Linked DNA regions of Arabidopsis thaliana. The protein of the gene in region 1 interacts with the protein of each later gene in a pairwise test. Each region holds a gene or a part of one and is shown on either strand. Other genes may lie near its edges.

What was found.
Region 2: the proteins of RSZ22a (region 1) and AT2G31730 interact in a two-hybrid assay, tested with the Arabidopsis thaliana proteins (one large-scale study listed by BioGRID).

The regions. Positions count from the first base shown.
Region 1 is NC_003071.7:10,447,800-10,451,975, reverse strand, and holds RSZ22a (RNA recognition motif and CCHC-type zinc finger domains containing protein), read right to left. Parts: upstream 2,346-4,176; 5' UTR 2,273-2,345; intron 2,151-2,272; 5' UTR 2,140-2,150; coding exon 2,051-2,139; intron 1,962-2,050; coding exon 1,873-1,961; intron 1,778-1,872; coding exon 1,528-1,777; intron 1,436-1,527; coding exon 1,310-1,435; intron 1,153-1,309; coding exon 1,116-1,152; 3' UTR 792-1,115; downstream 1-791. UniProt on the Arabidopsis thaliana protein: Probably involved in intron recognition and spliceosome assembly.
Region 2 is NC_003071.7:13,486,767-13,491,540, forward strand, and holds AT2G31730 (basic helix-loop-helix (bHLH) DNA-binding superfamily protein), read right to left. Parts: upstream 2,914-4,774; 5' UTR 2,573-2,913; intron 1,926-2,572; exon of another isoform or gene 1,830-1,925; 5' UTR 1,828-1,829; coding exon 1,711-1,827; intron 1,602-1,710; coding exon 1,536-1,601; intron 1,459-1,535; coding exon 1,393-1,458; intron 1,307-1,392; coding exon 1,262-1,306; intron 1,185-1,261; coding exon 1,017-1,184; 3' UTR 784-1,016; downstream 1-783. Other genes in the region: AT2G31725 (FAM136A-like protein (DUF842)), read right to left, coding at 1-75, 497-625; AT2G31740 (S-adenosyl-L-methionine-dependent methyltransferases superfamily protein), read right to left, coding at 4,287-4,490, 4,611-4,761.

The DNA.
Region 1 (4,176 bases):
AATATAAAAAGTGAACAAACTCATGAAGTTGGATATCTGTAAATTATTTTTCATAAAAAATAAGTATTTTCAGGACACAACAAAACAGGACAAAGATAAGAAACTTATGAAAATCTACTCCTTTTACTAGGGTTTTAAACCAAAGCATCATCAGAAGAGGAGGCAGCCAAAAAGCCTTCAATAAAGACAGAATGATCCTTGAATCAAACATGATGAAATTGAAACCAATGAGCAGAAAAATCTCTCGTTTAAAGATTAGTCCATGTACCAAACGTGATGAAACCAAAGGAATGACTATTGCAGATGGCGATAAGTGTTTATCCAAGTGCCCACCTCAAACAAAGCAGAGACGTTCTACATACTCTAAACTATTCTACACCGTAAGACAAGTTTCTTCGAAGCCTGCCTGAAAGGTATTAAATACCTGCCAGAGTAGCAAGTGCAACTCCTCGGCCATTTTAAGTTCAAGAAAAGCAAGACCAGCAATCATCAGAGCCGATGAAGTTTTCAAACATAAGAGCATCTAGATGAGAAGCAGAGTAGATGTGAACTAACATAAAGATCCCAAAGCAGGCCGATCAAAATAACCAAGAAGCCAGAAGCAGTTAAGCAATGAAGCAGAAGTAGTGGTAAACAATTATGAAGATCCCAAAGTAGGCAGATCAAAATAACGAAGAAGCGAGAAGCAGATAAGCAATGAAGCAGAAGTTGTGGTAAACTACTATGAAGATCCCATAGCAGGCCGACCAAATTAACCAAGAAGCCAAAAGCAGATAAGCAATGAAGCAGTAGAAACCTGAAGAAACCTCGAGATGATAGAACAAAAAACAAAGAAAATGCATAGGTTTTTAGCAGAGCTTTTGTTTATGTCTTTTAAGAACATGGGTAGATATTTAAAAGTACTTTACCTAACGGCAGATACAACTATGGCTTCATAATCCAAACGCAATAAGAAGCTTTCCAGCAATTCAAAAGTAGCAAGCATATCCAATCCACCACACAGCTAAAACATATTCTCTTAGTGAAATTCACAGATACTAATTTCCTCTCCTCTTGACGTCACAAGCAAATAGTTGTCTCCTGATCCCATAATTTGCTATCTAGACAAGTAACACTCAGCTCCGGCTTCTGCGCACATCTTTCAGACCATTTCTGCATAAACAAATACAAAAACTTATCAGCCACATGGACTCTGTTTTTTAACACAACGTCTAACAAAAAAGTCTTTGGGACGATAATGCCACTAGTTCAGTTTCAATTTCTTATATTGATTGAGATACAGTAGACTCAAGAGCAAGGGGAGTTTTACCCATTAGCATATGGCACCTCGTCACGTGCTCTATAAGGTGGTGGTGACCTACTGTAGTTGCGACCACGAGGAGAAGGACTACGACGTCTTGGAGGAGGAGGAGATCTAGCACGAGGGCTGTAACTTCTGTGAAACCAAAAGACAAGGTAATAAATCAATGAGGTAGACCAATTTCTTTTAGTTGCAAATCGTCAATCAGAAAGAATAGGGACAATAACCTTCGTCCTCCATAGGTAGGACTCTTTCTGTATCTAGGAGGACTGCGACTACGGCTGCGGCTACGACGCCTACCACCAGAACCACCACGAGAACGACATTCACGTGCAAAGTGACCAGACTCACCACACTCATAGCACTTCAAATCAGAACCACCACGTCCACGACCACCATCACCTCCTCCACGACCACCACCACGACCTCCACCACCACCACGGTTATGAGACTGCTCTACCCTCCATCCATTCTTGCCTACCATAACAATATAGATCATATATATATCAAACTCATAACAACTCATAACAACTCATAAAACCAGACCAGTAGAATAGAAGACCAACGAATACCATCTACTTCACGGATGGCGTCACGGGCATCTCTTGAATCTTCAAAATCAAGAAAAGCGTAACCAGGAGGTCTTCTAGCAACCCAGACACTGCACAGACACCAAAAGAACAATGAGGATAAATGCAAATTCACACACTTTACATCAACTAAAAACCAAAAAGGAGTCAATTTATGTACCTCCTGATCACACCAAAGGAACGAAACTCATCCTCGAGTTCACGTTCAGTAACTCGCGGATCCAAATTACCAACATACACACGCGACATCCTCAAGTTACCTATCAACAAAAGGCTTCAATTCAAAAACTTTGAAAGCGATGAATTCAAAAAGATGAAATCTATAGATCGAAACTACGAATGAATCTGGAGTAAAGAAGTGACAACGGAGATCGGGATTTACCTGAAGAAACGGCTTTGGCTCTTTCTCTTGCTCGTCTGTGAGAAATTAGGGTTATCGATTCGAAATTGAAGATGAAAGTTATTTTTTGTGGGTCAACTTTAAATGTCCTTCAAAAGTTATTCCTTGATTTGGGCTTAAAATGGGCCGCATGCGATATGGTACAGTAACAATAATGCCTCATATTCATGCAATTACTGATTATAAAATTAAAATGTCAGATGTTAAATAATAATAATTCAAAATTAAAAAAAAGCTCTCAGCATATAAAAGGAATTCAAAAAAAAAATGAGTATCACTCTTAAGTATTTATACGATTTTCAAAAAAAGTTGATAAAACTTACCGAAAATACAAAAAAAAAAGAAATTGAAATCTACATAAATCCCCAAAAACTACAACACAACACAAGGAGAAAACACTAAGAAAACACAAGCGAAAACTTCACAAGTAGAGATCCTGAGAAAAACACTGTTTCTAAACCCCAAATTGAAATCTCGTCGTAAATTCAAATTTTAATTAAAAAATATAAAGAAAGCTCTTTTCTATGTCCACTGAATATTTTATGTAAATGAAGAAAGCTCTTTTTATGCTCATACTTTTATGTATATACTAACCCATACATCTCAGATGATGAGGATGAGAGAGGAAAATAAAACTTAAGAGGGAGACTATTTGACCCAAAAAAAAAAAAAAAAAAAAAGAGAGAGACTATTACCTCTAGTTTTTGAACTAAGTGAAGAAAACTATTTCGTTCAAATTTTTATTTATAATAATAATTCACTCATTAAGCATCACAAATTAGACAATAGATGCATCAGCCTATTTGTAGGCCTAACCAATCCTCTACTTTATTCATCGGAATCGATCACTAGATATATAGTCGATAGGCAAACAAAGATATAACCATAAAAACCAATTTTGACACTATTATTTATTTGCGTAATGCTAGTAGGTGTGTACAAATGAACATAATTATGACCATGACAACGGCATGGTAACCACTCATGCCTCGAAGTTCACCTTCTGCTACCAACATATTTCCATCACATCATCCTAGCATTATTAAAGAGGCTAAGATACAACCTTTTAGCTCTTCTAATGCTAATAATCCTAGCATCATCCTAGCATTATTAACTGAGTGCATCTTTAGCTCTTCTAATGCTTTTTCTAGAGAAGAAATGGTTTGAATCACCCTTATTTTACTAATAACATATTTGGGTTTAAGATGAGTTTCTAACTTAAAACCAATTGGCAATGAAACTAATCATTTATAAGTATATTACTTGATAATTTTTCTAATTTTCGAGTGTAACTTTCTCTCATTAACAACTAACCATTCGATTATTTTAAGAACTTTGGTTTTGATACGGTTCAGTTTGGTCAGTTATTAAAATTATTGGGTTTTTTTGCCCATGCCTATATCTCCCAAAATCACAATATTCAAATAAAAACTTTTACCACTTGAACCATGGTTCTAGTTTAGAATGGTTTGTTTGGAAAAGACAATAGAGGCTAAATCGTAATTTTGTGCTTTATCACTTATGAGTTTCACTTTTAAATCAGTCACTTAACAAAAACCGGACGTGACAATATATTATGTCCAGATATTAATTTGGGATTAGCCTATAACATCCAATCATTCCCAAGAGCAATGATATAATTTTGTAGTTTTTTATTTACTATTTAGTGCGCACCTTTCTTGAACCAAGACTCCATTCAGTGACAGGATTAGATAAGTATGTGTGTATTATTGAAATGTCGTCGAGAGTCCACTTGAAGTTTGAACTATGACGACAAGAATTATTCCTTTTCTCTTCTTTCTATTCAGATGGAGAGAAGCTCACCTCAAGATTTTTAAAACGGCACTCAATTACGACTTATTTTGAGAAATAATTAATAAAATTTA
Region 2 (4,774 bases), 3.0 Mb from region 1:
CTCGACGCAGTTACTTATCTCCTCTTGCTTTCTTCTTCTATCAAAGCACTCATATGCACATTTGAAATAAGCTTGCTGCAACAATGATATCGTTGTCAGGGTTTAATTAATTTGAATCAACGGATCATATAACTCAATATAGCAACCCAAAAACACAAGAGAAGGTGTTAATAACTCTCATGCTTCTGAAGACAAAGCAGAGCAATTGTTATGCAACGAGACACGCCTACTTATCGAATATCCTACAGAGCACAATATAGTAATTAAACCAGAGCAATTGTCGTGAACCTAATCCATAGTGTCTAAAGACGAATATAGTACGAACCCAAATGCAAATTTTCAGACTTTTTTCATGAACCTACTCAATTCATCAAATTTGAAACTAGCATTGTATCAAACCAATAAAGATTCCATATTCAGAAGCTAACATTGCTAAATTGTTATATCAGAGAGAATTTATGCTGAGCTCGCGAAAAGTACAGATTTTTGTATATACCTGAAGGGTGAAATTGATGTGATCTTGGATAGGAGAAAGCTGAGTCTGAGCAGCTACATTAACTTCTTCAAGCTTTCTTCGAAGTCTCTCCGATACGATTTGCTCTTCCGCCGCAGCGATGTGATCCATTGTCGCCTTCTCTGTTTAGCGTAATTTTGATTTTAGGGCTTTAGGGTTTTAGCTAGCTGCTCTCTTCAATAGAAGATCCTTCAATAGCCGCAAACAAAACGGGTTTGACAATTTTGGGTCGGGTTAAGTTTCCCGGGTTTCTCTAAACCGGTTAACTCTTTTTCACCAATTCAAACTTTATTAAACAGGAAGCTAATTCCGGTCATTGACCGGTCCGTTAAACTTCGCATTAGAATCAATTGTTACAAGAAGCCACCACAGAGTTGGGATTAAGCAGTAAAAAATAACAGAAACAGCCATCACCGACTTCAAGGTCTCTCCATCAATACATGATCAGACCAAAGCTTTGGCTAATTTTCATTAGTCTTGAGACAGAGAATTTAGCAGCAGCTCATTGAAAGGGCGAATTAGAAGACGAGAGATTAAAAGCATGAGAAGATGTTGGAGTCTTCACAGGAGCCCAAATATCAGCACCATTGGTTTGAGCAACTTCTGATGTATACTCCAATGGAACAAGACATAGCCCTTTACTTCTTAAGCTGTACTCTTCCACTTCCTCCTAGTTACAGAGATGGAAAATATCAGTCTTGCATTGTGATCCAAGTAAACGAGATCCAGATCATAGATTCAGCTCACCTCTGTAGTAGAAGGGGTTGCTTGCAGATAAGGAGCACTTAGAACCTGAACAGAGAAAATCAAGCATAATCATCATTGGATTGGAGGAGGTGAATGAATGAAAAGTATTTGATTAGAAAACTTGAGCAGACCTTGACTTGTTCTTGAAGAAACTGAATGTATTGCATTCCCTCTAGAAGAACTGATGCAGTGTCGGTCTGCATAGATAGAGACTTGAACATGGCTAGAGAAGACAAAGAGCGTGTAAGAAAGATTATTTCGGACCAAGTAGTACCTTTCCGTAAGGGGAAACTAGTTGTTGAAGAGCTGAAATACGTTCTGCTAATTTGTCTTTCCTCTCCTGTTTAAACCACAGAACAACAAAGTTTCAAGATCATTAGCATGCTGGTACAGAAATGTCCGGTAGCTTCATAGCCACAATGAATTTTGATTTTGATGTATCACAAGACCTTGGAAGAGAAAGAGAGATCAGATGACTTGTGTCGTTTAATTTTGTTATCTTCAAGCGAGTAGACATTGCGCTTAGTCTCCATCATCATCTCTGCCGAGTCTCTAGAGTATTCCATTCCTTGTCATCAAACAAAACAAAAATGATCGGTTTTTCGACATAAGAAACCGGTTTACTTGCTACCATTTATAAAGATAATCTCATGGCTTCATCCAAGGCAAGTTGCAGAAAAAAACATAAGATTACAACTCAACAACTTGCTTTTGCAAGCGTCATAAGGACAAAACTATACGCCTTGAGATATTCTCAGACCAGACAAACAAAGTGGTGTCTTGGTTTTAACATCAAAATTAGATGTTAACTACTACAAATTAAGGGATGCAAATCTAGGTTTGGACCAACTAATGCATTGGAAGATACGACTTTTGGATTAGAAAACAAGAGCAATGGTCAAAGAAAGTAGATAATGGTCAGAGGTTATCCATATAAGATCACATCAGCTTAAAGTATTATTTAAAGTTTAGTAGCACAATCATAGATGTTTAAATATGATATCATACTTTGCTTCCATACATAGACAATACATTGTAGGATGCATGAAACTACGGAATTAACTCATTAATTTAGTTCATCTAATGAGCAGAACTAGTTAATCATTATACGTGTTTTTATTTTGGATCGAGTTAGCTCCATTAGACAAGATTCAAAGCTAAGCAAACTTCAATAGAAAAACCCCACAAGAAGATGAGAACAAAAAATACCAAAAGATTCATGATTTTATTTTGCCTTAAAATACTCTAAGTTAAGTCAAAAAGACCAAAAATGGGGAACAAAACAGAGTAAATGAAGAAAAAAGAACTTACAGAGAGAAGAGACTCAGCATTTGCCAGAAACAGCAGACTAACCAACAAGTAACTTCACAAACTCTAAAACTTCTTGGTCTAAGCTCTCTAAATGGGTATTTATGTCACCCTAAGCACAAGACACGATGAAACCCATAAACGAGGATCTTGGTCTCTCTAGTGTATATATATTTTTACTTTCTTTTGTCTTCAGGTCTTGAAGAAAGCCATTAATGAAGCCGGAGCTCCAACGGTGACACGATTCCAGAGGTTTGTGTTTGGATGAAAACGGCGTCGTTACTTAAAGGGTCGTGAAAGAGAGGAGTTTTAGTTTTATGTAGAGAAGAAAGCAAAGAAAAGAGGGGACTACGTTTCATATGTCTTTTTCTTCATTTTGTTTTTCCTTTCGTCCTCTTCATTTAATTCTCATTAAATCTATAGATTTTTTTGTGAGACAAATAAATTGTTAGAATATATAATCGTAAAACTTTATTCTGTTTAATTCAAATCTCTTAATCAATCGAAACTATATTATATGTGTTATTCAGTACTATTTGACGGTTAGGAAATAATTACTATAGTAGTAATTAGGAAGTAACTTGAAGAATTTAGTTTAGTGTATATATTTGGAGTTAGGGAATGTAATGGAAATGTAAAAATTTGACAGCTAATGTACAACCAATGGTGAGAGAGGTCCTTTTACCAGTCCCAGATAGAAGTCGCTTTCATTATTTTCATAATAAAATAATAAATAAGCTAATAATTTTGAAAGTGACATTTGATTGTTTTTTATGTAGTTTTGTCAAAATGATTTTGACCAATTCTTCTGCATCTGTCACTTCTTTTTCAACTTTGTGCTTTTTCTTGTTTTGTTATCCTTTCTTTGAAATTTTCTACGAGGGAGGTTGGTTAATGCAGCGTACCCTTTGGTTGATATCCGAGTATATTCACATTTTCAAGTTTCAACGACACAGCTTTTTGTTTATATGGAACAGAATCTATCTTCTTTTGTTTCTCCAAAGTAAACAGCTAAATACTAACCCAAAATTGAAAAGCATAAACAAATAGTTGAATCTAACCAAACAAACAGAAAAAACAAACCTAACTATAACTAAAAGGCAAAAAATATAACAACAATATTGATTACATGCAAAATATTTGAAATGTTTACAAATGTCCAATTGATCAGCGTTCCATATCGGACCCACGCGGTTTCTGAATTTGTTTCTTTGCCACAAATGTTTTTCTTTTGTCTTCGCGGCGACCAGATTTTGGTTTAGGTGTTTCAATTTATATCTCTCTTACGTACGTACCAAAATCGGCCTGTATCAAAGGCTTTCTTTCCCAAATTACAATATTACAACCATAATTATTATAGCTCCAATGAATAAACAGCAATTATGCTAATCACCATTCGAGCATTTCTTAGCAACAATAAGGAAGATCACTCAAATCAGAAACAATACGGATAGTTCCCAAAAATGCACAAAATTAATCAAGACATTGATGTTTAACTTACATTCCAACTTCACTATCATCCAAATTGAATGCTTCAATAAGTTGGTAGGTCTAACAATCATAAAGGTTATGAAAAAAACTCCACGCTTCATTTTCCATTTGCGTATGGACGAAACTAGGTGTATTGTATATAATATAGTCTCAAAAATTTCAATCTTAACTTATAACAGAAATATATCTCACACGTCTTTTTAAAACGAAATAATAAAGAATGTTTTTATTTCCAGCATTTCAGCTTCTTTGTAGCGTCTATGATGCTTTGCTTCGTTTCCAATCTCTGGCACTTGAGCAATCCCTCCAGTATAACTGCAGATTCTGGAATATCGTTCTCGCTGATTACAGATTCAGAGCAAAGCCCAAAGAGCACTACGTTTACGTCATCTTCCTCTTCTAGTTGCAGGCCAAATAAATGATCGAAAACCTTGGCAAAAAACAAAACAATAGAGATCAATTCTATGACTCAATTTCCGTGCAATAGTATCAGATCAGATTTGTGAAAATATGCAGAGAATTTACAAGGAATGAATCACATTTGCTTTACCTTTTTCATTCTTGATACTACCATATCTTTGACGGACTGTGATCTCGTGACCAAATTCACTATGAAAAGACCGTGCTGAGGGAGAGCTTGCTTAACCGAAAGAAGAAATGTCTCTTCGATAAAATCAGATGCAGGGCAGGTTAATCCGCCGCTGCAGACAAGAG